4 linked regions of the Lonchura striata genome follow. The protein of the gene in region 3 interacts with the protein of the main gene of each other region in a pairwise test. Links are inferred from orthologs where the notes say so. Each region holds a gene or a part of one and is shown on either strand. Other genes may lie near its edges. The genes, in order: SUCLA2, SHMT2, ARL6IP1 and ACSF2.

The links.
Region 1: the proteins of ARL6IP1 (region 3) and SUCLA2 interact in binary tests that used the Homo sapiens proteins (3 or more experiments, as listed by UniProt). The two-hybrid records come from large-scale screens. The link is inferred for Lonchura striata from reciprocal best matches to the Homo sapiens genes ARL6IP1 and SUCLA2.
Region 2: the proteins of ARL6IP1 (region 3) and SHMT2 interact in binary tests that used the Homo sapiens proteins (3 or more experiments, as listed by UniProt). The two-hybrid records come from large-scale screens. The link is inferred for Lonchura striata from reciprocal best matches to the Homo sapiens genes ARL6IP1 and SHMT2.
Region 4: the proteins of ARL6IP1 (region 3) and ACSF2 interact in binary tests that used the Homo sapiens proteins (3 or more experiments, as listed by UniProt). The two-hybrid records come from large-scale screens. The link is inferred for Lonchura striata from reciprocal best matches to the Homo sapiens genes ARL6IP1 and ACSF2.

Annotation. Positions count from the first base shown.
Region 1 is NC_134604.1:61,888,260-61,895,792, forward strand, and holds the start of SUCLA2 (succinate--CoA ligase [ADP-forming] subunit beta, mitochondrial), read right to left. Parts: upstream 3,010-7,533; 5' UTR 2,960-3,009; coding exon 2,873-2,959; intron 1,577-2,872; coding exon 1,393-1,576; intron 1-1,392. UniProt on the Homo sapiens protein: ATP-specific succinyl-CoA synthetase functions in the citric acid cycle (TCA), coupling the hydrolysis of succinyl-CoA to the synthesis of ATP and thus represents the only step of substrate-level phosphorylation in the TCA.
Region 2 is NC_134629.1:5,868,582-5,876,238, reverse strand, and holds the start of SHMT2 (serine hydroxymethyltransferase, mitochondrial), read right to left. Parts: upstream 3,030-7,657; 5' UTR 2,959-3,029; coding exon 2,935-2,958; intron 1,146-2,934; coding exon 948-1,145; intron 849-947; coding exon 769-848; intron 89-768; coding exon 1-88. Other genes in the region: NXPH4 (neurexophilin-4), read right to left, coding at 5,761-6,585. UniProt on the Homo sapiens protein: Catalyzes the cleavage of serine to glycine accompanied with the production of 5,10-methylenetetrahydrofolate, an essential intermediate for purine biosynthesis.
Region 3 is NC_134618.1:9,832,086-9,839,642, forward strand, and holds the start of ARL6IP1 (ADP-ribosylation factor-like protein 6-interacting protein 1), read right to left. Parts: upstream 3,005-7,557; 5' UTR 2,945-3,004; coding exon 2,909-2,944; intron 1,398-2,908; coding exon 1,264-1,397; intron 1-1,263. UniProt on the Homo sapiens protein: Positively regulates SLC1A1/EAAC1-mediated glutamate transport by increasing its affinity for glutamate in a PKC activity-dependent manner.
Region 4 is NC_134621.1:5,722,490-5,730,228, reverse strand, and holds the start of ACSF2 (medium-chain acyl-CoA ligase ACSF2, mitochondrial), read right to left. Parts: upstream 3,014-7,739; 5' UTR 2,998-3,013; coding exon 2,909-2,997; intron 1-2,908. Other genes in the region: LRRC59 (leucine-rich repeat-containing protein 59), read left to right, coding at 6,842-6,946, 7,292-7,351. UniProt on the Homo sapiens protein: Acyl-CoA synthases catalyze the initial reaction in fatty acid metabolism, by forming a thioester with CoA. Has some preference toward medium-chain substrates. Plays a role in adipocyte differentiation.

The sequences.
Region 1 (7,533 bases), on a different chromosome or scaffold from region 3:
TATGATGTCACAGGGATGACACAGAGCTATAAACCAGGAGCCAGACATACACACACTGCTGGAGGAGCCCTCTCTGAGCAAAAACAAAACAAAGGAACCCTGACTGACGAGTTCCTGGGCTATTGATTAAAGAGCCACAGACAAAGGTTCTCTCATTTCCCTCCAGCAATACCTGCGCAGACATTAGAGAAAAGGGGTATACCTTGGAAAGTTTTGATCACACTATAAACTCACCCTTAACCGAAGGTAAGGTTCTGAAGTTTAAACCATTCTCAGAAGCATTTTAGCAACTTCCTTTCATATTAATGAAAGTATTCTAATTTTGTATCACTTACTCTCTAAGGGAAACAAGATAAAGAAGGTATCTGACAATACCTGAATTTCTAGGACATCATGCCTAAAGGAAAAACAGCTTTTCAATTCTTTTCTACATTACAAAGCAACATAACTGGCTCTAGAAGAAAAATTATCATTTCTTTCAGGTCTCATTTCTCACACTAAATCTCCATATGAAACTGAAATGAATCCAAGAAAACCTATAACCTCAAGAATAACTATGAATGTATCCCTTTGGAGGTGAATAGAGATTTGAGCATTTGCGTAGGAGAAAGGAATATGTCAACCTATGTCCTTCACTAAAACTTTGTGACATATGTTTTTCCAGAGAGGGGAAAAAAAAAAATCCCAGCCTTAAAACTAACAAACCCTCCCCAAATAAACCAATCAACCAACCAAAAAATCCCCACCTTCTAATGCCTGACACAATAGAAGTTGACTTCCATATGAAATCCAAATTGAACAACATTTTGCTAGGACAGATCGTAAATAACACGGCAAATTAATAGGCAAAAACAAGTCCAAAATTAAAGCTTAATTCTAAATTAAGTATTTAAGCACCTGGCAAATGAGATGGGATACTTTTTCATCAACAAGCCAGGAATTTAGCATACGACTACAAGCCATCAAAATCCTCCTCTCCTGTATGAAGTAGTTGCATTCTGACAGAAAAGCACACTCACAAAGGAATAGGATTTTACTCTTCTCTGGTAGCTTAAAGAGAAGTATGTAGCTTGAGGACAAGTATGAGATCTTGTCACCACCACTGAAACTCTTCACACAAGACTTCCTCTAACCTTGCTGAAAGTAGAAAGAAATCCAGGATTTGCAAAGTAGAGTCTATTACTCATCTCAAAGAAGTTTAACTAGTTATATTAGTCTAAGCTAATAGAATTTATACCTGACCTATTCCTTCTTAGCAAGAAGGTTGCTTCACAAGGAAGGATCTCTTAAAGGTATATAAAGAACTCCAAGCAACATCTTACCAAGAAAGACAGAAAAAGTAGGTACACCTTGTACCAATCCTATTAGTATATGTTCTCTTTAATATTATACCTATTTCTTTCGCTATTTTGTAAGCTTCATCTGGAGTATTGGCAACCACTCCATGTGGAACAGAAATGCCAGCCTCCTTCAACAGTCCCATGCTCAGGTATTCATGGAGTGATAGCCTCCTCTGTTGCTGTTGTTGCACTTGAAACCCATGACTGTTGAGTATTCCTGAACTTCCAGCAAGCACCTGAAGAAAAAGAATAAAAAGAAAAAAAAGAAAACAAAAAGAAAAATGTGACTGTTGTGAAGGACCAACCTCTTTGTTTAGGCTAAAAAAACCAGTCTACATATTAAACAAGTACACTTTAGTGTTCCAGTGCAAACACCTGAACATTTAATCCTACCCTTCCATACTAGGCATTCATATCATGTCTGGTATTTGATTTTGTGAGGTTTTATTGGGCAGGGGAAAGAGCTGGTGAAACTACTAGCACTGACAAGTTGACAAGGACTGTAAAATAAAAATCAACAACAAATGCAAAAAACTGTTTGCTGCAATTTTGTATTTCACCATATGCAAATAAGACCTTAATTTTATACACAAAGCAAGAAACCTACTGAATTCAGCTAATCCATGAACATGGATGATCACCAAAAGACTCAAGGTAAAAAGATTACAAACAAAACTTACATACAAAACAAACTTTTGCTTTTATTTTTATTTTTTTAGTACGTATCACTGGCATAAGCACTGTGAAAATCAGCCTGAATGAGGAAGTTTGGAAGTTTCTAATCAGATAGATTTTTAAGGCTTCATTTCACTTCAAATAAAGGAAACAAGCAGACGACACATGAGCTTTACTACAGCATTCCAAGCTAGCGAATCGACAGGGCCTATGTAGCCTCCAAAGGATTCCTCCTCCAAGCAGGACGTCCTCTCCTTGGCACGACCCCAAGGGAGAGGCGCTGGGGAGGCTGCGTGTAACTCGAGAGGGGCACTCACAGAGACCTTCCCCAGTACGTGGCAGGAGAAAGTGGCAGCGAGCGTCACACACCGTGTCACACACCGCAGCCTCCCGAACTCCTTCGTGTCACCGCTTCCCAGAGGTGCTGCAGTCAAAAACAAGCCCGCACCCCCGAATGGCATCCCCAGGAACCAAGAGCAGAGGCTGGCGAGGTGCGAGCTGCAAGAAGAGTTTAACTGGCACAGCCCGACCCCTCCTAGGAGCAAGGTGACGGCGGAGATGGAAACACGGGCATTTCCAAGCAAGATAGGGGACGGGGGCGCTGAAAAGTAAGGGAAAAGGAGCCACACAAGGAAGACATGCCAGAAGCAAGAACAGCGGCTGCGGGGCCGCGCACCAAAGGTGAGCACCGGGCTGCCATCCGCGGGGCAGGGCAGGGCAGGGCAGGACGCGAGTGCGCCCACACGGACGCTGCTCTCGCCGCCGCTCTGCAGGGAGCGACCTCGACCGCCATCCCAGCCGGCCCGGCCCCGCTTCAGCCCCGGCCCATCCCACCCCCGCTCCCGAGCGGGCGCTACCTTCCCCGCGGCGGAGCCCAGCGAGGCGCGGAGGCCGCTGCCCCTCAGCCCGGCCGCCACCCGGCTGCAGATCATGGAGGCCGCCATGGCCGAGCCCCTTCGCCCTCGGGTGCCCCCGGCAGCGCGCACGCGCCGCTCGCGGGCCGGGGCGGGGCCAGGAAGCGCCGCGCGCGGCCCCGCCCCGCAGTGACGCTGAGGGCGCTGCTCGGCCTCGCCTTCCCTCCAACCTTTTGCTTTTAATAAAGGTCAGGTTTGCTTCGCAAGGATCCTAAGTGGGTTGTAATGCACCCACAACCTTCCGACCACGTCGGTCTCGGTTGGCACCACCTGTGTTAAATGTGAGGGAAGAGGCACGGCTCCCTTAGGACACGCCCACACTCCTTCCCGGTTCAGCTTCCCAATGGAAGGACTTCCAGTCCTGAGGATTACTTTTTTGGTTTCGTATTTCAGCGTGTTTCCATGCAGCAACGTAAACACAACCGTTCTTGCTTAAGACAAGATACAATGGTTTTAAAATGAAAGAGGGCAGGTTTAGATTAGATTAGTAAGGAAAAAATTCTCTGTTGTGGGGGTGGGAGGCAGTGGAACAGGATTTTCAGAGGTGTGCATGCCCCATCCCTGAAAGCGTTCCAGGCCAGGCTGGATGGGGCTTTGAGCAACCTGGTCTAGTGGAAGGTGTCCCTGCCCATGGCAGATGGGTTGGAGTTAGATAACCTTTAAGGTCCTTTCCAACTCAAACCATTCAGTGGTTCTATGACTGAACTGAGGACTAGTATTTCTAGATATTTTGCAGCCCCTTCCCCATGCCACCACCTCCATTTCTGCATCACACTGCTCCACGCTGCGCCTCCCCCTCTGCAATTCAGTGTCTGTACTTTTACTTTGGTGGCCTTGACTCAGGTCACTAAGGAAATGAAGCAGGGAGCAGATGTCCCTGCAGAAACTCGTGACCAGACATTGTGATTCACCAGGAGGCAAAGCTTTTTCCTTTAAAACAAAATGGAAATTAGGAAATTAGCATTGGCCTGGGAAATTGGAACAAGAATGTCCTCTACCAATAATAAGGAAAAATGCAGTTATTTCCATACATTATGAACATCAAAGCAAGATCTGATGTGAAAGAAAGCCATGTCAGAGCTGTGATACTTCCTGAGTTTTGTAATTTGAATTATCCAGTAAATGATGAGTTGCTTCTTTTTGTTATGAAACTGAAAATGCATTATTGTAACTTCTCCTTGGGCGAGTATTGCAAAAGATGGAGTCATTTTGGTTTGGTTATTTTGCTCCTGGTCCTCCACTGACCTGGTGTTATTGTCACCTGTTAGCACTGCAGTGAGCTCTGCAGACTACTTAGCTCTGCACCTCTGTGTGCAGACACACAAGATAGAGAAGTATGTTAACTTCTCTATCTACACTGAACCTGTAAGCAGCTGCAAAATTTTGATAGACCATCCAAGATTTCCCACCACAGCTGATAAAATATTTCTTCCAGCCAAGGGGAAGGGAAGAAAAAGCACTTGAACTCTGCTCTTTCTGCCTTCTGTACACACAGTGTCTCTTCACTAGTCACAGGACCTGCTGCAGTTCTGTACTGCACAGGACGGTACATGGATGCCATTTCCACATACAAACAAATCTCCTACCTCCAGGAGACTCCCCAAAATCACCTCCGCCCTGGAAAGGATTTGCAACAATGTTTACAAGAGGATGTAATGGATCTTGGCAAAACTTTAACCTTAAAAGCCCAAAGCTACTGTTCAGACATAAGCACTGGCTGCAGGTCAGGAAACCAGACTTATATCCTGACTCAGTTGCGAGCTACTGGAAGGAAATTTGACAACTGTCCCTGGGCTTTTAATAAATTCTTGCCTTAGCAAATGACTGTAAAACATTCAGATTACAACTACTACTGTATCTTCTTCTCACTAGGTGTGACTTATCCTTCCAGTTTCAAAATGAAGATGGTTTTTTTACCATCATTTCAAAAGAAGAAATGTCACATGGCTGACAATACTGAAGGACTTCTAGAAAGACTGAGGCAGCTGCTGCTGCTATCTAGAGTCTCGTACACAGCTGTATGGAGAACTTTAATTATCTGAATGTTTTATATTGTCTGATTTCCTCTTGGCTGTGAAAACTCATCCAGCTGGGGTGGACTGTAAACATGCCTGGATTTTTGTCTGATCACCAGTGCCACCACCAGGCTCTGACTGTCAGCACAAGATGGTTGTAAGCCCAACTCAAAATCTTAAAAACAATAGTTCTTGGAAATGACACATTCACCTCTTCTTTATATTGTTAGACATACAAGAAAAGATAACACTCTTGGCTACAACCAGTCAAATTCCTAGTAAGTCCAATATAAACTCAGGTTTGTATAGGCTCAGCCTCATTCAATATCTGACCTACAATTGAAGAAACTACACAAGGAATTCCAGCAGATATCCAGAGGTTTTGCTAAATCTCCAGAAATAGATTCAATCGTATTCAAAGTTTAAAATTATGAGATTTCTTGCTAAAGTCAGAGTAAGATTTTTAACACAGGATCAAGGCCCTCTCTGAAAAGCTGTATTTAAAACTATAAAGAAACAGGGGAAAGGTACATTACAAATGAGATAGAAGGAGCCAAGAACTTTTAACGGACAAGCAGGACAAATAAAGCATCCTGTTTGAGACCAAATATAGCATCCAGGAAGGCTCAGGCATTATGAATAGACATGAATTTGCTTTATTATAAATTTACCACGTCCACACAGTGACAATGATACAATCTGATTTATTTCCCAGACCTTGTAAGCTCCGCTGGTTGATACTTTATAGTTGAAAAACATCAGGATAGAGGGTCTTGCCAAGAACATCAGAGTTAGAAAGTGAAAGCCCCTGCCAAGGCCGTGAGTCCAGAGGGTAGGAAATTTCCAAGACAAAATTTATCAGCAGCTTAAAAAGCACCCCAGTACCTGCGGAGAAAAACACCCTGAGCTTTCCAGAGCTCTTTTAGTTGAAGAAAGGAAGGAAGACAGGAAGGAAGAGCCCACCTAGTATGGTAGATGAGTAAACAGGTTTAGCTGATGAATCAGCCATGGTCAGAGCAAAAAAACTGACTTTAAAGCAGAGTGACAATAATCCTTCAGTGGTGTCTACACTGCCTTACATTGCACATCTTATACATGGTGAATTCTCTCTGCAGGAGTACCATCATGGTACTCTCTGGACAAACTGCAGGTTGCTAAGGGGACCCTCAGGCATAGCTAACAACATGAAACTATTCACTGCACCCATTTGCAATATTAACAGGTTATTCCATCTCTTCTCCCAGCCATACAGAAAAGTCCTTCCAGGGTCCTTCGCTGAAGGTGCTCCGGTGTATTTCCTGCAAGGATTCTACCATATGTCCCAGCAAAGAGGCATTTGCTGTGTGCACTCTCAGGCCTACATAGATGGAATTTTTTACAGAATACAGTATGAACATTCATCACTATTATACCATCTCTTCCCAGCCAGTGAAGGCTGGTAGGTGAAAGGTTCAATGAAAGCAAAAGGATTTGGTTTGCAGAAAATGATCTGTCACATAGCTAAGTTGTGGAGCACCTTGCCACAGATGCTGCAAATGATGAAAATTTACATGGGCACAAGAGGAGTCTTGGTAGGTTAAGAAAGAGAAACAAGAACAAGGTTAGTAAATATACAGAAGCCACCTCTGCCTTGAGAAGTCACCAAGCCACAGATGGCTGTAGAATAGTAGTCAAAAACCCTGTCATGATTTCTTGCCTACTGTATTCCAGACATCCATTCTGGACCTCCAGGTACTATCCTAGATGGATAAGGAATAGACATTTTTATACTCTTCTTATTCAGAGTCCCCTGGGATTGAGTACACACAGAAGTTTAATCAAAGCTGAAGCACAATCCACCTTCACCCGCCTAAGGGTTGCCCAAGGTTACTTAAAGTGTTAATGACAAAGCTACAAATAAAACAGAATTGTTTCAGCACCTTTTCTCATTCCAATGACCCAGTCCTGTCTGTACACAGCAAATAAATAATTAACAAGCAATGAAGTCAGAACACCTGTAGTACAGCTCTAATTTGTCCTATTGCTCTTGCACACTATTCTCACCACATGTAAATATGATCAGAGGTTATTTACATTTCAACATAAAAACTATGTATCACACTTTGCCTAATTTCCACTAATAATGCTTATGAAGCCATAATATTAGAGCAAGCAATGATTTGTGGTAAAAGACAGCCATTTAATAGAAACATGCGGTGTCATAGAAATAATTCTGCTGAAATAAAAGTGAGGAAACAGTTAACAATGTTACATTTTCAGTATCAGGTTTCACGATAACAACCAGAAGCTTGAAAGCAAGAGAAGAAAAATCTCTCAAGTTCAAGTTTCAGCCAGGTGGCTAGCAGGGCTTTGGTGTCATGCACTGCTGTCGCATTCCACCCAGCTTCTGAATGCCAGCTTTGCAATGTAAAATATTTAAATATTTTAATATTGAACATTTAAATATTCCATCTTCCAATTCATACTTCTGCTAAGAAAATGCAAATTTATAGAAAATTCCAGAGCCAGGGAATCTTTCATGTGTATGAAAGATGGATGTTTTCTGCTTGTGTAGCTGCTTTTCAATAAGCTGTTGTACACTATGCTCTT
Region 2 (7,657 bases), on a different chromosome or scaffold from region 3:
GCGCGCCGGGTCCAGGTCGAAGGCCTCCAGCGCCCGCCGCTGGCACAGCAGCTCGAGCTCGTCCACCACCTCGGCCCCCCCGTAGTACCTGGGGACAGCACGGGGTCACCAGGGGGGTCCCCCCGCCGCCAGCCCGACCCCACGGGGGTGTGGCGCATCAGGCAGCCCCCAGTGATGCTGCGGGGTTTTGGGTTTTCTGTGTTTCAGATGCTGAGATTATGACACCTCAGATTTTGGGGGTTTTTTGGGTTCATGTGAGGGGATGGTGAGCTCTGTTCACAGAGTAGGCAGACAAAACAATTCCTTCTCTAGCTGGGGAACAAGGACAAAGGATCCAAATTTCAGGCCCAAGAGCAGAAACAGAAGTGAACTGAACAGAGAAAAACAAGAAGGATGGGACTGGGTAAGCTAAAGCTACAATTGGACAATTAACCCCAATATGCACATGGAGCAAAACTTATAAAAGCGACAGACCTCGTGACAAGGCATCCATTTTTGTGACCATTTTGGGTGCATTTTGGGTTCATCTTGTGACTATTTTGGGCTCACCTGGGCTGTAGCCCTGACTGGCCTCTTTGTGCTGCTCAGGGTGGATCCACTGAAGCCTCCTAATAAATCCCTAATTTATTCTTTAGCTCTGTTTAGATCTCTGTTCTGGGTCAGCATCAGCACTGGGGAGCCCCCAGCCCTGCCCTGGGGCTCCCTGGATGTCTCCTGCAGCTGAACCCCGGTGCCCCCCGGTGCCCCCCAGCCCCCTCCCCACTTTACCTCTTCCCAGGATACCCCTCCGAGTATTTGTTGTTGAGGCAGGAGCCCAGCGCCTCCAGCGCCGCCCGGCTGCAGAAATTCTGGGGTGGGGGGAAAAGTGGATGAGAATCGGAGCAGCCAAACCCCCTAAACTGGGGGTCCCCCAGCCCCAAACCCCAGCCCTGCCCAAGCCCCCCCACCTCAGAGGCGATGAGCTCCAGCCCCCGGCACTGCCGATCCTTCTCCTTCTGCACCAGGCTCCAGATTTCGGGGTCGCTCTCGGCCAGGCTCTCCTGCCCCGTCCAGCCGGGGACGTGCCCGGTGGCGGCGGCGGCGGCGGGGCCGTGCTGTGCCCGCCGGCTGCCCGTGCCCACCCGGGCCCCCCATCGCTGCAGGGTCTGCACAGAGAGGGGAGGGACGAGCCGTGACCCCTGGAGCCCGTCCCAGCACCTACAGGTGACAGTGGCAGGCACAACACCCCCAGGTCTGCCTCCAGCCACCGGTGTCACCCTGCAAGGTGGGAGCATGGGGACCCCAAGGGGTGCATGGGGACCTCAAGGGGCACATAGGGACCCCAAGGAGTGCATGGGGACACCAAGGTGCACATAGGGACCCCAAGGATCCCATGGGGCACATGGGGACCCCAAGGACCCCATGGGGACCCCAAGGATCCCATGGGGACCCCAAGGACCTCATGGGGCACATGGGGACCCCAAGGATCCCGTGGGGTGCATGGGGACCCCAAGGATCCCAAGGACCCCATGGGGACCCCAAGGACCCCTAGGGGCACACAGGGACCCCAAGGACCCCATGGGGACCCCAAGAACCCCTAGCGGCACATGGGGACCCCAAGGACCATGGGGTGCATGGGGACCCCAAGGGGTACATGGGGACCCCAAGGATCCCATGGGGTGCATGGGGACCCCAAGGGGATCTCAAGGATCCCATGGGGTGCATGGGGACCCCAAGGATTTCATGGAGACCCCAAGGATCCCATGGGGTGCATGGGGACCCCAAGGATCCCATTGGGTGCATAGGGACCCCATGGGGACCCCAAGGATCCCATGGGGACCCCAAGGACCTCACGGGGCACATGGGGACCCCGTCTCCACGGGACACATGGAGACTCCTCCGTGGTCCCCCCAAAGTACATAGAGACCCCAAAAGCCACATGGGGATCCTCCCAAGGCCCCCACGAGGTACATGGGGACCCCAAGGATCCCATGGGGACCCCAAGGACCCCTAGGGGCACATGGGGACCCCAAGGGGTGCATGGGGACCCCAAGGACCCCATGGGGACCCCAAAAGGTACATGAAGACCCCCTTAAAAGTCCTCACGAAGCACACAGGGACCCCCAAAACCCTGCGGGGGTGCCCCCCAAGCCGAGGTGCACAGCGGGCCTCTCACCCACGGGACCCCCACCCACGGGACCCCCCCTCGTTGTACACGGCGGCTGTGGGGGGACACCCGTGGGGCGCCCCCGGTGCCCGGTGCCGGGTGATGTAACCGCGGCCGCCCCATTGCATCACCCGCGGGGCAGCGGGCACCGGACACGGGCCAAGGCCGGTGCCGGGGCTGTCCCGGCCCCGGGGACTTTGGGACGGACACAAAGTCCGCGGGGGTGGCGGGGCGGAACCGGGCCGGGCTTGGGGGGGCGACACGCAACACCAGGGTGGGGGTCCCGGTGTCCAGCCGGGGGCGAGGAGGAGGAGCGGGATGGGATTGAGACCCCCGGGGGCGATGGAGGGTGGGGAAGGGGTACACAGGGGGGCACCGGGGGCACCGGGACCCCCCCCCGCGGCACCGGGCACCGGGACCCCCCCGCCGGGGAGCGGGAGCCCTGGACCACCGGGGCTGCAGCTCACTGAGGGCACCGGGACCCCTGCGAGCACCCAAATCCCCCGGGCACCGGGACCCCGTCCGGGCACCGGGACCCTCCCTCCGGGCACCGGGACTTCCCGCACACCGGGAACCGCAGCGGGTGTCCCCACGCCGCGGACCGGGGCTGTCCCCCCGGGCACCGGGAGACACCGGGGCTAGCAGAACCCAGCGCTCACCGGGGGATGCGGGAACCGGGGATCCTTACCGGGGATCCTTACCGGGGATCTTTACCGGGAATCCTTACCGGGAACCCGGGACCCCCACCCCGGTGAGAAGCGGGCCCCGCTCCCAGCCCCGAGGCTCACCCTGCCCAGGCGGAGCGGCCACATCCCGGTCCGCGCTGCACGTGGGTCCCGCCGGGTCCCGCTCCCGGCCCCGGTCCCGGTCCCGGTCCCGGCCTCCGCTGGCCCCGCCCCCACGCGCGCGCTGCCGGGAGGGCGGAGCCACCGGAGCCGCGGGGCCGACGGGAAACGGGAGCCCCGGCGCCTCCCCCCCGAACCGGGGCAGCCCGGACCCTGCACCCCCTCCCCTTTCCTAATGTTGGGATCCCCGGTCCTTGCACCCCCCTTCCCTGATTTTAGGGTCCCCCATCCCTGCACCCCCCATCCCTAATTTCGGGGTCCCCGATCCTTGCATCTCCCCCATCCCTAATTTTGGGGACCTCCGTCCTTGCACCCCCTTATCCCTAATTTTTGGGTCCCCTGTCCTTGCTCCTCCCATCTCTAAATTTGGTCCCCTATCCCTGCACGCCCCCCCCCCCTATTTTTGGGGTCCCTCGTTCTTGTACCCCCCTATCCCTAATTTTGGGGTCCCCCGTCCTTGCACCTCCCATCCCTAATTTTGATCCCCCATCCCTGCACCCCTCATCCCTAATTTTGGGGTCGCCGATCCTTGCACCCCCTCCCATCCCTAATTTTGGTCCCCTATCCCTGCAGCCCCCCCTCTATTTTTAGGGTCCCCCGTCCTTGCACCTCCCATCTCTAATTTTGATCCCTCATCCCTGCACCCCCCATCCCTAATTTTGGGGTCCCCGATCCTTACACCTCCCCCATCCCTAATTTTGGGGTCCCCCCATCTCTGCACCCCCCTCACCCCATCCCGAGGTCCCCCCTCCCTCCCCCCACACCTTCTCCCAGCCTCCCCATCCCTGCTCACCCCAAAACCGGGGTCCCTCCTCCTGCACCCCCCGACCCTCATTGCGGGGTCCCTCCTGCACCCCCGACCCTCATTGCGGGGTCCCTCCTCCTGCACCCCCCGACCCTCATTGCGGGGTCCCTCCTGCACCCCCCGACCCTCATTCCGGGGGTCCCGCCCCCTCGCCCTCCCCCCACCACCGCGATCCTTTGGTTTTCCCGGCTTTTCTTTATTTTCCGCTTTTTTTCCGTTTTCATTTTCTTTACAAAAAAAAAAAATTAAAGAAATAAAAGATGCAGAAGCCGTTCCCCGAGAGGAGGGGGCCGCCCCTGAAACCCCCCCCCAAAAATCGCATCCCGACCCCCCCCCCCCCCCCCCCCCGCCTGGCGCTTTTTCGCGGCGTGGGGGGAGGGTCCCCATGGGTGGGGGGGTCCAGGGGGCAGCGGGGCCCGGAGGCGGCACCAGAGCCACCCATGGGTGGGGGGGGGCTCCGGGATACCGGGTGGGGCCTTGCACACGTGTGGTACAGGTGTGTCACACGTACATACGTGTGGTACAGGTGTGTCACGCACATATGTGTGGTACAGGTGTGTCACATGCACACACGCATGGCACAGGTGTGTCACGCACATATGTGTGGTACAGGTGTATCACACGCACATACACACGCGTGGTACAGGTGTGTCACAGGGTACAGGTGTGTCACACACACACATGGTACAGGTGTGTCACACGCACACACACGTGTGCCCGGCGGGGGTCTCAGGGGTGGAGGGGTCTCAGGGGGTGGGGAGGTCTCGGGGGTTGGGGGGTCTCGGGGTGGGGGGGGGTCTCGGAGGGTGGGTGGGTGTCAGGGGGTGGGGGGGGTCTCCGGGTGGGGGGTCGGGACCCCAGCACCAGTTACACCCAATGGGTGGGGGAGGATGGAGTTTCAGTGGGTGGGGGGGGTCTCCATGGGTGGGGGTCCCGGATTCCCAACACAGGCAGCGCTGCAGTGAGGGGGTGTCAGTGGGGGAGGGGGCTGGGACCCCCCGAAACAGGTGTACCCCAGAATGGGGGCTGCAGTGATGGGGTCTCGGGGGGGGGAGGGGACCCCCAAGAACAGGGTACCCCAATTATGAGTCTCAAAATGAGGAGGGGACCCCCAGGATCAGGTGTACCCCGGGGATGGATCTCTGTGTAGGGGTCCAGGACCCCCAGCACCGGCTCCACCCCAGGGATGGAGTGATGGGATGTCACTGGGGGTGGAACTGGGACCCCCAGAACTGGCTGTACCCCAGTTGGAGTACTCAGTGATGGGGTCTCAGTGGGTGCCCGGGACCCCCAGTACGGGGTACTCAGTGATGGGGTCTCCGTGGGTGCCCGGGACCCCCAGAACTGGCTGTACCCCAGTACAGGGTACTCAGTGATGGGGTCTCCGTGGGTGGTTGGGACCCCCAGTACAGGGTACTCAGTGATGGGGTCTCAGTGGGTGCCCGGGACCCCCAGTACGGGGTACTCAGTGATGGGGTCTCCGTGGGTGGTTGGGACCCCCAGTACAGGGTACTCAGTGATGGGGTCTCCGTGGGTGCCCGGGACCCCCAGTACAGGGTACTCAGTGATGGGGTCTCAGTGGGTGCCCGGGACCCCCAGAACTGGCTGTACCCCAGTGTGGGGTACTCAGTGATGGGGTCTCAGTGGGTGCCCGGGACCCCCAGAACTGGCTGTACCCCAGTGTGGGGTACTCAGTGATGGGGTCTCAGTGGGTGCCCGGGACCCCCAGAACTGGCTGTACCCCACTGCGGCTCAGGAATGCCGCAGGCATGGGACGTCATTTTAGGGGGGAACCTGCAACTCCCAGAACCAACCGAATCCCACCATGGGACGGCATTGGGTGGGGTCCGGGACCCCCAGCACCGGCTGTCCCACAGCCCAGCCCAGAGCCATGAAGACGGGGCTGGCGTGGGGGTGACGGGGGGTCCCGAGTGACGCCGAAACCCCCGCGTCCCCCGGTGCCGTCAGCCGAAGTAGGGGTTGTCGTGCTGGAAGTTGTAGTCGGGACAGACCTTCTGCACCAGCTTGTAGTCGATGCTGAGGAAGGAGATGAAGATGCAGATGACCTTGAAGGGCTTGGCGCAGAGCCAGGCGGCGTGGCTCTGCGTGTGCTCGGTGAAGCACACCTTGGACGGGTCGTAGAGGCACGGTTTGTTCTTCCGCGCCCGGTTCGTCTTCTCGTACTCCACGTGGCAATTGAGCGCCTTGGCCGGGCGCCCCTCGGGCAGGGTGCTCTGCTGGGGAGGGGGCGGTGGTTGCAGCAAGGGTGGGGGGCCTGGCACCAGCACCTCGAAACCCACCGCCTTGGAGGGTGGCACGATGCTGACGGAGACGTTGCCCAGGCTGGAGGAGTTGTGTCGGAAGTAGACGCTGAAGGTGCCGTTGATGTGGTCGACGATTTTCCCCGTCACCAGGAGGCTGAATTTGAGCGTCTTGATGTTGAAGTAGAAGTCGCCCCAGCCGAAAATCTTCTTGGTGCGGCTCGATTTGAGGGTGGGCTTGCGGTGGGCGCGGGGGCTCAGCAGCTCCCCGGCCGTCTGGTTCTTCTGCCAGTCCCAGGGGCTCCGGCCGGTGCCCGCCGGTGCCCCCGCGCCCCGGGCGGGCTCTGCCGGAATCAGGCGCCCGGGGTCGAGGGCTGGGGGTTTCAGGGTGCCGTAGGGGACATCCTTGAGGAGGCCCGAGGTGCCCATCTCCAGGTACCCCAAGGTTTTGGCGATGTGACCGCCAGCACACACCGTCTGGGGAGAGAGGGCAGAGAGGGCGGGAGCTGTGCCTGTGCCCTTCCTCATCCCTCTGCATGCACCCTCCTCATCCTCCTGTGTGCACCCTCCTCATCCTCCTGTGTGCACCCTCCTCATCCCTCTGCCTGCTCCCTCCTCATCCTCCTGTGTGCACCCTCCTCATCCTCCTGTATGCACCCTCCTCATCCCTCTGCATGCACCCTCCTCATCCTCCTGTGTGCACCCTCCTCATCCCTCTGCCTGCTCCCTCCTCATCCTCCTGTGTGCACCCTTCTCATCCTCCTGTGTGCACCCTCCTCATCCCTCTGTCTCCTCCCTCCTCATCCCTCAGCCTGCTCCCTCCTCACCCTCCTACCTACTCCTCCTTCCTCATCCTCCCGCATGCGCCCTGCTCATCCCTTTGCCTTCACCCTCCTCATCCTCCTGTGTGCACCCTCTTCATCCCACTTCCTGCTCTCTCCTCATCCTCCTGCGTGCATCCTGCTCATTCTTTTACCTTCACCCTCCTCATCCTCTCGCGTGCACCCTCCTCATCCCTCTGCCTGCTCCCTCCTCATCCTCCTACCTACTCCTCCCTCCTCACCCTCCTGCCTGCACCAGCTGGGCTGGCACCACACCAGCCCCTTCCCAAGGCTCCGCACTCATCTGCTGCGATGGACACCAGCGAGCCGAGCCAGATGCCGGCCCTAGCCTGGGACCTCACCTCTGACGTGTCCCCCTGTCCCTCATCCCCCTGCCCACCTGCCCCTCAGTGCCCCCATCGCTCATCCTCCTGCTCCCGGGGTGCCCGCTGTGCCCTCCCGCCCTGCCAGCTGCTCTGGCACGGGGGATGCTGCTCGGGCAGCCCCGGCCTCGTCAATCACTGTCGCCCTGAGCTGGCAGGTGCTTGGCTGCTCGGGCAGTTTCTGCTCTGCATGACCTGGATCCCGGCAGGAACGGAGAGGGGGAGTGGGGAGGGGGTGGCGAGCAGAGGCAGCAGCTGGAGGGGCCGGGGGGGAGCGTGGGGGGCAGGCCCAGGGAATGGCTCCTGTCATTGCCGGGGGCTCATCCTGGCATCACTCACCCTACAGAACGGCTCGGTGGCGGTTCCTGCTTGGGAATGATCCCCATGGGGAATGGC
Region 3 (7,557 bases):
GACCCACTAGAGGCTGTTATTTGCTCTGTCTCTCCTGAGAGAGCCAGCCAAACCTGTTCTGGACAAGAGGCCATCAATCTCCCCTTAAAGCAGTGCTGCATTTTCCATATTCAGTCTGCCATCAGTCAAACAGAGCAGAAGGGCAACTGGATAAGAACCAGCTGATCTCCTGATAACACCCAGCTGGGCCCTGTGCTATTCAACTGTACTTCACAGAACTTCCTGAAAACTGAAACAGTAAAAGCAAAGAAATAGCCCAGGCCATGGTGGGGCTGTTCTGTATATCTGTAGAGTGCTACTGTGCTGGCTGCTCAAGGTCATTTTGTTGAGTTCAGAACCTGAAGCAGTTCTGCATTTCCACAAAGTATTACTCAGCACAAGATCTTCCCTTCTGTAATCACAGAATTTATAACAGAATATCCTCAACTTCACACAATGGCTTCTTTTAAAAGTTACTTTTCAGTTTCCATTTGATTTCCACCTTCCTCATCTCCCCTAAAAGCATATTAGCCAAAAGAACAATTATCCCTGCCTCACCTGGTTCAACATTTATTTTTGTAATTTCTCTCCTCATTGCAGGAACAGTTACAACTGGCAAACTGCAGAGCTGGCACAAATAGCTGTCTGTGCAAGGCAGTCAGGTCATCTTTACTCCCATGTTACGTAAGGGCACATCCAAGTGCCTCCAGCACCTCCAATCAGACAGGCAACATCCTTCCACCCTGCAGACTGGAAATTACTGTAGCCTTCCCTTTTGCCCTTTCTCAAAAGACATGACAGAATATTAGAAAACTCTAGGTGTGCAAAAATAACAGAACCTATCCTAAACCCACAGCAAAGAGGCAGAAAAGGCTATTTTGCCCTATTGAAACAAGCTTTCTATAAGGATACTGCTGGTGGTGTCGGGGGGAAGCCAAAGCAGATTGTGAGATCTGACAAAGAAGCAGGGTACAAAGAACGAGGGCAGAACATGAACGCACCACTGAAGAAAATTCAGCTGAGCACAGTACAAACCCTAGCAACTACTGCTGGCAAACAGCTTTTGCAGAAACTATTCTGAGCAGGATGTGAATCATGTTACTTCCTGCTTTCATAACTTCTGTTTGTAATTTCCAACATAGTTCACACATTTTAAGAAAAAGAACCTAGAGTAAAAGCCTTTCTATTAAGACTTCTCCAGGTGTCCAACTAATTTTCTTAATAGGTTTGGTAGTAGCCATGAAGATGCAATGATGTTGCAGGCTCCCTCCAGGAGGTACTTACAGGAAGGAAAAGGAAACAACACTCATCAGTGCCAGAGGAAACCAGGCTCGCTCCCAGCGAAGAACTTTATCGGTCAGTAAAATCACTTCTCCCCATCCTTGCAAGTGCTCTTCCAAGCTTGCAGTTTCAGAAGCCTACGCAAAAAGAGAAGAAAACCCCTTTAACTAACCAGAGTGTATCAAATTAATTACCACACTGAAGTAGATTTAAAAAAACCCCAGTGTAATAATTAAAGATTCCAGCCACAAATCTTTCTGAGTAATTAAATAAGTAATTATATTGTGAGTTTTGTACTAAGTTATGACATTGTAGCAGTGATGCCTTTAAGCAGTCAAGATCCTAGCAGCATGTACAGGCCTCGTCCCAGATTTTGCCAAGGTGTTTTCCCCTAATCTCCCATTTAGCATATCCCATCCAGCACATCCCATCCCCCCAGATTAGTAGAAAGTCAGGTTTTAAAGATTTTTAAGTTTTCAGTACCCATGACCGGAAAACTGTAATATGAGAACTGTTTAAAACTAAATGTATTTTCCAAGACAACACTAGCACATTAAATTGTTCTAGCTGCTGTCCAATGCCAGTTTATTATGAGGAAGATGGATAAAGACTCAGAACCCACAGTAAAGTTATCAAACTGACCACATTTGGACAGCAAGTTTTCCCACAAGCTGCCCTAAACAGCCTTTAGACTCCATTTCCCATATGATTCCTACATTCCTCCCTACACCTCTCCTGCAAGGAGGCTCCACTTGTGCTGCCATCAGCTTGTTAAGAAGTTCACCTGAGGTGTTCCACACTTAAAAGAGCTTAACAGTCTCCCCTCGGTGGGAGATGGCATCTCGGAGATTACAAAACTCAGGCAAACCGCGGACAGAACCGACTGCTGCCCGAGCAGTAAGAGGAGGAAAGTCATGAAGACATGCACGTCTGCCGTGCAGAGGTAACAGAACAGGTTTTACTCAGCGGCATACTACACTTAATTCCAATAAGAACTCCGACGCCACCAGAATAACAAGCACAACACAGCTCGTGGACTTTCTACAAACTCTGGAGCCTCCCTGCAAGCGCCGAGCTCCTGGAGCTGTTCCCGGCGCCCGGCTGGGTGTGCAGCACGCAGCGCTCGAACGCTCGGCAGGCTTTTACAGCGACTTTCCTATTGCCCACGGCAGCCGCTTGCCAACTGAGGCGTAACTATACATATATCTATATATAGCCTTGTGTTTATTTAACTATTCAAGCATATCTCAGCACGTTTAGTTAAGCTGAATCACCCAACGCCTGCCGCTCTCCGGTATCGCTGCGGCGCTCGGTCCCGCAGCGGAAAGCTGCACACACACAGACACACGCGGACCCTCAGACTGACACAGACAGACAGACAGACAGGGTCGGGGTAGCCGCCGCGGATCCCGTAAGATCAGCCAAGCGCCGCTGGGGCTCGGGCCTGCAGCAGCCGCAGCCGCGCCCGCCCCACACCGAACCGGCAGCGCCGAACCGCGTCACGAGCGCGGGGCCGAGCGGCCCCGCCAGGCACCGCTGCGGGCAGGACAGGGCAGGACAGGGCAGGACAGGGCAGGACAAAGCGGAGCGGAGCAGCCTGGCGCCGCCGCCGCCCCCCGCAGGCTCGAGCGGCCCCGCCCGCCCTCACCAGCTGGTAGGCGCTGTTGTTGTCCCCCTCCGCCATCTTGCGCCGCTCCCGCACCGCCGGCCACGCCCTCCCTCACCGCGCCGCCGCCTTTTATAGCCTCCGCGGGCCGCCTGAGCGCCGTGATTGGTCAGCCGCGGCGCCCCGCCGGCCGCCGGTTGGCTGCCGGGATTCGAAGGGCGCGGGGCGTGCGCGCGGCCCGCTGGCGCGCCGCAGTGCGGCTGAGGCGGCGCCGGGAGGGGCGGCGGGCCGGGGAGAGGGGGCGGCGGAGCTGGGCTGGAAAACAGCCGAGTCCAGCCTGCGACCGAGCACCGCCGAGTGCTGAGCGACACACATCACATCTTGCCCTAAAACACCTCCAGGGATTGTGACTCTGCCACCTCCTTGTGCCGCCCGTTGTAATATCACTCTCTGAAGAAATTCTTAATGTCCGAACTAAACCTCCCTAGGCTCAGCTTAAGGCTCTGTCCCCTTGTCCTGTCCCTCTTTTCCTGGGAGCAGAGCCCGACGCCCAGCCGGCTCCAGCCCGCTTTGAGCAGCTCTGAGGTCACCCCCGTGTCCCGAATGAACACGCCCGGCTCCCTCAGCTGCGGCTCCTCAGCCGTGCTCCAGCCCTGCCCTGCTCCAGCACTGCCCCAGCTCCATACCCTGCTCTGAATCCTCTCCAGCCCTGCCCCAGCTCCATACCCTGCTCTGAATCCTCTCCAGCCCTGCCCCAGCTCCATACCCTGCTCTGAATCCTCTCCAGCCCTGCCCCAGCTCCTGCCCTGCTCTGAATCCTCTCCAGCCCTGCCCCAGCTCCATACCCTGCTCTGAATCCTCTCCAGCCCTGTTCCAGCTCCATACCCTGCTCTGAATCCTCTCCAGCCCTGCCCCAGCTCCTGCCCTGCTCTGAATCCTCTCCAGCCCTGCCCCAGCTCCATACCCTGCTCTGAATCCTCTCCAGCCCTGCCCCAGCTCCATACCCTGCTCTGAATCCTCTCCAGCCCTGCTCCAGCTCCTGCCCTGCTCTGAATCCTCTCCAGCCCTGCCCCAAGCTCCATACCCTGCTCTGAATCCTCTCCAGCCCTGCCCCAAGCTCCATACCCTGCTCTGAATCCTCTCCAGCCCTGCCCCAGCTCCATACCCTGCTCTGAATTCTCTCCAGCCCCTGCCCCAGCTCCAGCCCTGCTCGGAGCTCGCTCCAGCCCCTCAGTGTCCATTCTGAACTGGACACACCACCCGAGCTGTGGCCTCAGCAGTGCTCAGCTCTGGACCAGTTCTATTGGTAACATCAAAGCCCAGCAAGGTGTTTCATTTCCTTCAGAACTTGTGGCAGCATGGGAATAAATACAAGATAAAGGCACTGGGATATAAATATTGTTTCTGACTCAGCTTTCTAAATGCTTCAGGCACGTGGGTTAATGAGCGTAATCACCGTGCCCAGGATGCCACACGAGGCTGTAATGAGAGCAAACAAAACATCTCGGGCACCAAAACTTCTCTGGCACCAGCTTGATAGAGACAAAAAGAAGAACTAAGGACAATGTAAAAGCAAACATATGTCTATCCTGGATGGTTTGGTCTTCCACAGGGTGCTTCTCACTCACCCTAGAACATATGTAAAGAACAGATGTCATTCTGAATAACTAAAATTCATGTACATGCTGCTAAAAGCTAAGAGTACTTTTGTGTAACATTTTACACTTATAAATGGTGGATTTCACTCTTAAAATCTGTAATTTTAGCACAGCAAAGCTCACACAAAAAGTGATTTCATAAGGAAGTGATGATGCCAGTGATAATTTTGTTAGTCTTTTAAAAGAGTATGGAGCCATACAGAGGCATGACCTCACAGCAGCCTTCCAGCGTCTGAAAGGGGTCTACAAGGACAGGGATTCAACCTCAGGAGCTGTAGTGACAGGACAAGGAGTAAAGGGTACAAACTGAAAGAGGAAAAATTTGGGTTAGATATAAGGAGGAAATTCTTTACTAGGGGTGGTGAGAACAGGTTTGCCTGGGGAGATTCAATGCTGGGAGATGTCCCTGCCCATGGCAGGGGTGTTGGGACTGGACGGTGTTTAAGGCCCATTCCAACCCCTCACCATTGTGTGATTCTATAATGCAGTACAGTTTCTACAGATATTTGCAGTGCCCTGCAGCAACACTGCTCTGGCTATGAGATACCATCAGCCAGCTCCTGGATTCATCCATTTATGTGATTCTCACCAAAAAACCCAAGCACTTACCAATGGAACAAGCAGGCATGGCCATCATCTCCAGCCAGTTTTTTCAACGCCAACTCCCTAGCCAGGTGCCCTTGCAGCTTTTCTCCATCCCAGAGGGCCAATGGAGGTGTTTTTCCCTCCTATTACGTGTTGCTCCAAACCTCAGAGGGGCCACTGCACTGCAGAACACAGCACAGGGCAGGCCCTGCCACCTGCCCACCCCTCCCTCACTGAGCAGCCAGGCCAAGTGAGGCACCACGTCAGATTAAAAATGTGTGCTACATGTGCAGGTACTCACATATTCCATTGTTAAAATCTCAGCCATGGTGTATTCACGGAAAATTCATTGTTAAAATCTCAGCCATGGTGCAGGAGGCAGAGGATCAGCAGTAGCTCAGTCCCTCCTGCACCTTACCTGAGCTAAACCAAACTCTTTTGCTTGCCCCAATACACGGCACAGACCATGCTAAAATGGAATCAATCCTTCCTGCACCAAGATTCTCTCTTAGCAGATGCACAGAAAATTAAATCCCCAAGATGGCTTCAAAGCACCTTTAAAAGGGGCAGTGCAATTGCTCTGTGCACTTAGAACAGGCACGAAAGTTTACATGTCAAGCCTCCACCCTTTCAGCATACCTAATATATGTTTATTTTGTTATTAATAAAAAATTAGCCTGATGAATGGCAGAATTGCTCTAATTAGCTATGCATTTACGTACACAGCAGTAGTTTGTAGCTAATATCTGTAGTTTCTGTGAAATTCTTTAGCTAAAACATTAACAGTCTGCTAATTTTAGGCAAAGCCTGCAAGAAAAAAAAAAAAAAAAAGGAAAAAAAGCAAAGAAACCTTTGAAGTACTTGAGTACATTAAAACAGAATGGCTAATGTACCAGGCACAGAACACATTGATGAATAATTGAAGTAAATTAACCTTAAGGACTACAGCACTTAGAAAAACAGAGTCTTTTACAGACATTTGAAAAATTAGACAAAACATTATTCTATTTAAATAAGATAATCCTTGAGGGCAAAACCAATTGTTGCAAAGCAAAACCAGACCATGAAGTCTCTACAAAGTACAAAACTATTTTCTGTTAGCTGTATAGATCTGCATTTCCCATTTGACTGTGCCATTATCCTACCAAAATAATCTAGGGCACCACTAATGACTTCAGTTTAACACATCCCAAAAACCGATTTGGCAGAGCCATGCTCACATCCTGGCTTTCCAAAAGGGGAGAAGGAAGAGAGGCAAAGGACCAACTCATTTTCAAAGGACATCTCAACCACGAGCCTATAGATTTGTGAGGGGGTAACAAAACTGCTGAACATATGTAGAATTTGGCTTTGAGAAATCACTTTATAGCATGGTCCCTTGGTTAACATTTACTGCAGCTAAGCAGCAGGCAAAAAATTGCCCTCAGTTGAACTGTTTGACTTCTATAGCTTAAGCTGGTTTGTATTTATTTAGAGAGGTGATTCTAGACTTGCATTATTCTATGTGTGCCTCACTGCAGAGAAAATAAACACCAGTTCTACTGAAAATAAAGTAAGCACCCTTATGTCTTTGTCAGAAGCATCTTTTAAGAGAATGTAACTAATGCAGTCTTATTTACTATGCAGGATGTGTGAGCAGAACCTGAATTTTAGGTTTCATCAAGACTGTACCAACCTCCCATACTGTCAACATTTCCCAAGAAAAATGTGTCACCTCACAAGTCGACAGTGACAGTCTAACTCCTGCACATCTGAGCTGTCTCCTTTGCATTAGTTATGCAAATTTAAGTCTCTGGAGAATCCTGCTCTAATTTGGGGTTTGGTTTGTATTTGTTTGTATTGGGCACTTAATTCTTCCCTGTAATTTTCACAACCACACAGTGTTGCATTGAAGGAAATTAAAAACACATTCTTTTTTATTTTTTAGAACTTTATTAAATTACGCAGTAAGAACCCATCTCCACACAAGTGTTCCATTTCTGGATGGCAGAGGTATAATACATGAGCCACAGGTGAGTGCGTTACCCCTCCCTTCCCCCCAGCTTCCAAGAAACAAAACAGCAGGTACAACACACTCCTGTCACTACACTTCTCCAACAGATTGTTCATAAGGTTATTTTTAACTGGAGAAAAATGAAAAGGACCAACAGTGCCAAGTGTCCTGTTCTGCATATGACTGTTCTTCACTGCAGCATTCCAACAGCTTCTCCTGGGCGTTGGTGGCAGAGGGTCAGGGAGCAGTGGCAGTGGAATGCGTTTGCACGGCTACTGCTAGATGCAAAGCCTGTGACTTCCCTAGAGGTAATCAGGCAATCAGAGTGCAAGGAAGGCCATATGACTGTTGAAAACTGTTACACTTCAAAGTGCATGTCCACAAAAAGTTGGCAACAGAGGAGAAAGCGAATTCTAGGACCTACTGCGGAGGCAGAGCAGTCAGCATAGTGCAAA
Region 4 (7,739 bases), on a different chromosome or scaffold from region 3:
GCCCTGCATTCCCAGTGAAAAAGGGAGTATCTTGCACTGTCATGTCGTGGCAAAGCATTACACAGATCAGGCTCTCTGGGTTTCCTGTCTCAATATTTTCCAGACCTGAAGAGCCAAAAGGTTTCTCTAACTTTTTCAGAACCAGACTTTTAAACTAGAGGCAAGAAGGCACAAGGCTCCAGGTTTCATGGTTTGTCTTCCTCCCTACCCCCAAACATGAGGATGAAAGTGCATCAAAGAGCAGTAAAAGATATTATGAAGCTACATGCTGAAAAATACTGAGAAAATACTGCAGTATTTCACACTGTGAACACAGCTTGCTCTCAGAGGTCCCAAGTATTCACATTTTCAAATGAAAGCATCAGCAACACTGAAATTAGAGGCTAAGAAGGCTAAGATACCTCATGCTTATAACCCAGACACATTGACTCCTCTCAAAGCACTAATTCACATAATTTCTTCAAATGCATTAAAGCAAAAATCTCAGCTGCCATCAAGTCTGAGTTCCCCGAATTCTGGTCTGACATTGACACATGCTTCAGCATTTCTGTGTCACTTTGACAGTGTCAGAAGTGAAAAGTGTGGGATAAAACACAGCAGCCTTTTGGAAGCACTGGGGGTCAGGAGTGGAATAAAGGAGGCACACACAAGACATGTTCATTATCAGCAGCAGCATGCTGGAAATCACACAGGGCTGGTCTCCCTCCTGCCTACAGCCAGCAGCAAGAGTTTGTATCTGATCTGAGAGAATCTATCAAGAGACCTCTCGAAAGAAAGGATCCAAAGGATTTGGAAATAATCTCTGTGTTCATCTTTGTTACACAAAACGAGTAATTCACCCTTCACCTCTTCCTACAAAGCATCTGGTGCTGCTGGAGATAAAATGAGACCCACGGTCTGATATTACACCGGCTCTCATTTCCCTGGCTCAGCCAAAAGAGAGCAGATAAAACTCTGCTTGCTCTTGGGTGTCAGCACTGTAAACCACACCTTTTGGAGGGCACATGCCTTTTGTTAGCAGCACATTTCTGCAGCAAGCCAGCCTGCAAATGAGCCAGCCCTTCTATGGGCTGTTCCCACAAAACTCCAGAACCCTCAAGTTCAGCAACACAGCACAACAGAAAGACATCAGAGATCTGGGGGAAATGCATCCTCCTCCTCTTCCCTGCAAAAAGCGGGAGAGCAGCCAAACCCCAGCAATCCCAGAGCTCTTCTGCCTGGTGGCAGGAAGCAGAAATGATAAGACTGAAGCAAGCACTCTGAGTTAATCCTAGGAGCTGTTTGTATTTTTCCCTGAACAGCTCCAATCAAAGTCTGGAGTTGTTGACATAAGATAACCAATTCTGTTTTCACCTTTAACTCTTTACCAGTCTCTATAGAAATTATCAAAAGGGATGAGCGAGTAAACAAGGGAGTTAACCTGCTGTCCCCTTTGTAGTGTGAAGGACACTGACCTGCCCTGTGGTGCCATCACGTCAGCACCTGTGGGAAAGGCCCTGCCTTCCCAGAGCTTGGGAACTGTCCCAAATACAGAGTTCATACTTGGAGAGGTTCACAGATTCTGCCAGCTCCTTTGCTCATGGACATCTACCAGAGCCTCTCCCCAAAACAAGAGTTTTTGGGTCTTTTCTGTAACACGACTGCAATTAAAGGGTGGTAAAAATTAACTCTGCTCTGTCTTCATTCTGCTTTAATCTGTTGACTAAAGAGTTAATCAGATACTACTTTTTAAATTATTATTTAAAGTTCCCTGGGTTTTCAGACTCCTTCTGCAGCAACTTTCTGGTTTTGTTTTCCACTGTATCTCTCTGCCCTCTGCACTCTCCCTGCCAAAGGGATAAACAAACTGAGGAGTAGAACTTAATAAACTTTTTTTATAACATTACTAGAAAGAGTTTACTCTCTAAATACATGCTCTCTCTCCCCAAGGGCTTTGTGTTCTTGTCCCTCAGTTTCAATTCTGGGCTGAAGTGAGCTGCAGTGAATGTTGTCATGCTTCTCTTGTGATCCTACTTCCTAAGAACTGATTCTGAGAAGGCAATCTTCACACAACTATGATGAAGTGGCTTCAACACCTCACTCCTAATGTCAAACCAGCTGAAAAAACCCACCTAAACCCTGTCTGTGAAAAACAAGGAATGCCCCGCCTGATTCTTGGAATTGCTTACTGGAAGTCATCCCAGTGATTATTACTCTGAATACCAGCGAATCAATCAGAGCCTTTCCCAAAGCCAGATACTCCCCATTGCTGGTTTTTCACATGAACTTGCTCAAAGAGGCACCACTGAAGAAAAGCAAGGCAAAGAACTGGCCTGACTTCCCAAGCCCCAGAGCTTCTTGGTGTCCCACACTGCTTGGCCACCCAGCTACCTGGGGGCTGCAGGACCACAGGGGGACAGGGACACTGACAGCAAGTCAGAGCTCTGGAGGAAGATGGGGAAGCCATTTGATAAACTTCACATTGCTGCAATCTAGATGGAGCCGCTGCACAAAGTTCAGCCCTTGCCATGCCTTCACTTCCCTTCTCCTGCTGTTCAGGGCTCATCCCTGCCCCGGCCCACTCCCAGGTGGGGTGAAGCAGATCCAGGGGATACAGCCTGCCTTCTGCCACTTTGGAAGGGTCTGGGGATGACAAGGGTGAATATGCCCTCCCTGCATGCAGCCACTGGCCTAGCTGGATATTCACAGCACTGATAGTCCCTGTCCCCCATCACACATGGTCTCCATCCTCTGCAGCCTCTGTGCCCTACAGCTCCCCGACCCCAGAGCCCTCTGCCCCCTATAGCCCCTATTCCTTCTCACCCACAGCCCCCTGCACCCTTTAATTCCCTTACAGCCCCAGTCCCCTACAGCCCCACAGCCCTCTACCCCTACATCCCGCACCTCCCGCTCCCCAGCCCGTCCCTACCTGCCCGGCGGGGCTCCGCGCTGCCCGCCCGCCCGGCGCAGGAGCTGCAGCCCGTGCCGGGCCAGCGCTGCCAGACGGGCCACGGCCATTCCTGCAGCGGCAGCACCCCGCAGCACCCCGCAGCACCCCGCGGACCCGGCCCGGCCCGCGCCGCCGCTCGGTGCCCCGGGCGCCGCGCCCCGCCCCGGCCCCGCCCCGCCCGCCGCTCCCGGGACCCTCCGCCGGCCGGGGGGAGGCACCGGGGGAAGGGAAGCACAGAAAGAGCCAGCCCTGCCCGGTCCGCGAGAGGGACTGCGGGCTCAGACGGAGCCCCCAGAGTCCCGCCGGGCATCTCCCCATCCATCCTCTGCCGGTCCCCAGCCCAAGCTGCCCACCACAATTTCTTCCCTGCACATTTCTGGTCCGCTATCTCTTCTTGAGATAATGGGCAGGCCTGCTCCATCAGCCTGACCCAACCACTGTTACACCCGAATAAGCCTCTCCACTCAAATGAGTAGAGACTGACTTTGGTGCAAGACAAACACCATTATTTGCCTCTACCTGTCTCCACTTGTATCACTTGGTGCCTGAGCCCTGTGAGTCACCAACTGCCCTCCAGCCCTATGCCATCAATGAGTTATCAGCTAGCACCTCACTAACACCTGTATGCACTCCCTGTGGAGGAGAAGAGAGCAGCTAGGAACGGCAGAGCTGCTCCAGGGCTGGGCAGGCTGAGACCCCCCTCACCTAAGCACAGAGGTGTGGGGCTGCTGAGCTCTGCATCAGCACTGATGCTCAAGAGGTGACACAGTGTATGTGTATCACATCATGCACAATGGCGCTGACAAAGAGCGTAAATATCAACCTCAGAATGGTGAATCTCAGACATCAAAGCCAAAACTGTGCTTGCGACAGAGTGAAATACCAACTGCCACCAGATCTCTAGTGTCTGACACTTGCTTTTAGAAATTAAGGATTTTCCCCAATGTGCATCTAGTTCACAAGGAATTTGTTTGGTGGCAGCAGTGACAATGTCTTCTTTGTTAGGGAAAGGGAGAATTTTTTTCCCTTGAAATGTGAAAAACTTGCCTTGGCTGCAGAGGGCAGCCAGAGATCTTCTGAGCGTCTGGGAATGGTCTCCAACCCCAGGCTGGCATGGTCAGCTCAGCCCCAGTAAGGAGCATTAGATCACAATTAGATCGACTGTGTTCATCCCTCTTCCCTCAGCATTTCCTGCTCCATTCTCCTTGCTAATGTTCTTGCAGCCCCTAGCAGAGTGCACAGATGCACCTTGTGCTATGCTTTGTCTTTGTCTTGTGGAGCTTCAAAGTCTTTCTAGCCTGCGTGCACGGATACCTCCTCCAGTCAGCCCCACTGGACCCAGCAGCCAGGTGAGTTTCTGGATTCCCACAGGGGATGTAAAGCTGTGTGACATCTGTGGCCAGAAGTTGTCCTTCCACTGTTTGGCCAGAGCAGAGCAACTGTCTTTGTGCTGAAGGAGCATCAGAGCTCTCAGTATTGTATAACCACAGAGAAAAAAAAAAAAATCAGTGCAAACGTGTAATAAATAAAAATAAAGATGACTTTTGGCTTGATCTTCCCACATTATGGTTTTTAGCCTAGATGGTGAGTCCCAGTTAAAGAAAGAATTAAACCATGAATTATGCAGAAATGTCACCCTGACATTTGAGTATGTTTGTTTGAGATGGTAGTGATTTTGGCTAGAGATCAAATCAAAGGACCCCTGAAGCAGTAACATTTCATACACCATTGCATAAGGTAGCATTCATTTCTAATCAAGATTTTCAAATCTGTTAATCACAAACAAGTAGGTAGGTTTTGTAACCCATTACACCCTTGTTTGGTTTTGCCAATGGCTCTTGGATTTTTCAAACACAGATTTTAGTCTCTGTATTTCCCAGATATGCAGAGGGTCTTGCTCAGGCCCCCTCAGAGCCCCTCTGGGTTTTGTTCTCCAGAGCAGGACTGTCTTTGGTGCTGTTCCATGGAGGGGAACAGCACTGCACATCACATGAATCCCTCTCTGGCTCAGGGTAAGGAGTGGATCAGTAATCAGCTGCTGCCTTGGAGATCTGGTTTCCCCACCATTCCCTGGAGCAGGTCTTCTCTGGCTCTTCCCTCCAACAACAAACGTTGTTGTGAAATCTGATGTATGGAGGGAGCTTCTTGGATAAGTAGACCTCACTCCTCTCAGATGAGGGCTCTGTGATTTCTGCTCACATTTGGAAGAACAATAACATGCTCTGAAAATCTTCCATAATCTCCTGGACAGGAGACACCTTAAACTCAGGCAAACTTTATTGTAGTTTCTACGAGGCAAATCCTTGTGTGCTACTTTGGCATGCCTTTGTTCAGAGAATCCTGTGGCCTCAGTTACCTCAGTACTGAGCAAATAAATTGGTTTCTGGGTGTTGGAAGAAATTCACTGGCAGCTTACAAACAAACTAATGCATCCACAGAGTAGATGGGCTGCAATAGTGAAAACATCTTTGCAATGTCCCAAACATCACATATAGCACAGAAGTCAGGAAATTCATGCTGTAATCCCAGTACCAGGTAACACTAATTTGGCTCTGCCCCAGGCTCCTTTCTCTTTCACTGACTTTCTCCACAGAGTGCCCTGCTCCTGTGGGACTGGAGCCTTGGGAGCAAAGCAGGAATATCCATTAAGTGTCCCTCCTGTGAACAGACATTGTGGGGTAATGTAACAGCCAAACTGAGAGGGAGTTCAGCCCCTGGATTATGGAGAGTGTGGACAGATATAAGCAGCTATATCAGGTATTGCAAAACAAGGTATACATCCTTGGGTTTCTGTTGGGATTATCGGCCATAAACCAGTTGGTTCTCTGTGTGTCAGGTGATGTGACTGGATGCAAAACCGCCCCTGCTCATGGGTCTTGGCTGGGAGTTCTCCTGCCTTCTGCAGGGCTGTTTCATGTAGCCCAGATCTAAACTCCTGCCAACCTGGCCAGGGTTCCAGGGCTGGTGGGACAGTTGCAAGGATGCCCTGAGCTGTGCCAGTGTGTCCCAAAATAGGCTCTCCCACCCAGTGTACAGGAGGCCAACCCAAACCCAGAGTTGTAGTATTTGATTTATTTACAGTTCTGCACTGGATGGCAAATCCACAAAGCCAGCATGACAACTGTCAAAACTTTTGACTGTTTATATATTTTAGCAAACAAAAGGCATTAATGTTCATTGGCTACGAGTTATCTGGTTCTCATATCAATTAGTATTCTATCTTCCAATGCCTAATGATTTTTTTCACTTCCCATACTAATTAGTCCACAGTCTTGTCTCTCTTCTTTTGGGTTGGTGGGTTTCTTGGGTCTGTGTCCATGAATAGGTGGTCATAATCTACTCCTGACAGAACTACCTTTTACCTGCTTGGAGCTGATTCAACCCAATTGCTGAGCCAGCTTTATTAGTTTCTTCCTTATCTTGGAAATTCTGCCTAATGTTCTTGTAGCCCATAAATCCTGCATTCCTTGTACCCACTATCAGTAGTACATCCTTCTTCCCAAGCTTTGTTAACATCCCATTACATCTGAGATCATCGCATCAACATTAAACCCTAACAAGACAATTCTACCAACAAGTAATTCGTCTTTCTAAGCGCTCAGAGCTTATTAGCGGTTGTCTGCTTCGGGGATTAAATCTCCTTTCTTTTTGCTTAGGTTTGAAAGAGATCGAGCATCAGGTAACGTTCTTTCTTAGGGTAACTCGGTGTCCTGCGGCGCCGGTGCGGCCCCGCTCCGGGCCGGCAGCGGGCGCGCTCGGGGCGGCTGGCGGGGCCCGTGCAGACGTGGCCGCGGAAGTGGGTGGCGGGGCCGGGCCGTGCCACGCCGGGCTGGGCTGTGCCGTGCCGAGCCGTGCCGAGCCGCTCCGAACCCAACCGAGCCGCATCCCCCGCGGGCAGCCGCCGACGGAGCCATGTCGCGGGGCAGCGGGAAGGGGATCAGCCTGAAGGATAAGCTGGATGGGAACGAGCTGGACCTGAGCCTCTGCGACCTGAACGAGGTGCCGGTGCGGGAGCTGGTGAGTCTCCGGCCGTACCCCCCCCGGCGGGGCTGGGGACCGCCTGCCGGTCCCCGGGAAGGAGCAGCGTAGGGGAGCTGGATGTGCTGGGGGCTTGTGAGCTGGCCTGCAGGTATTGAAAGCAGCGAGGTTCTGTCCCGCGGGCCCGACAGCCGCTAGTCACTGCTGTCCCGGGATAAGAACCTTTTTGGATACAGAGATGGATCCGGAGATGACGTGGCCTCGGAGCAGCCGCGGGGGATGGACAGACTGACGCGGGAGAAACCGCAGAGGCCGAAGCAGAACAGGTGTCAGAGGGGGTCGGGTGAACCTCCATGTTCATTCAGTGCTTTATTTGTCTTTCAGGCCGCTCTTCCGAAAGCTACTATCTTGGATTTGTCCTGTAACAACCTCATTTCCTTGCCGGTAAGGTGCTAGAGAGCCTCCGTGGGGATGTGTCTGCTGGGAAATATTTGGAAAGATAGCTGGTGCTTCAGGAGAGGCTCACCAGGCACCGTGGAACTGGCATTTTCACTGCCCTGGGGTGGCTGAATGACTCGTTGTCAGTGACGGGTCAGTGCTGGCAGTGATTTGGCTGAGGCAGGAGAGAGTACAGGGTTGAACTGTGTGAAGATTGCAGTACACTCCTTCCAGAGCATCCCCAGGTTAATAGAGAGGACTTTCATCCGCAGTGGAGACTTGGGTTTGTTCCTGTCATATTGTCATCCATAACCTTCTCAGTCTGTCTATCTGTCCTACTGTGTCTCACCTCCATCTTCCAAGGCAAAGGAGGAGAGTAATCTTCCTCCATCAC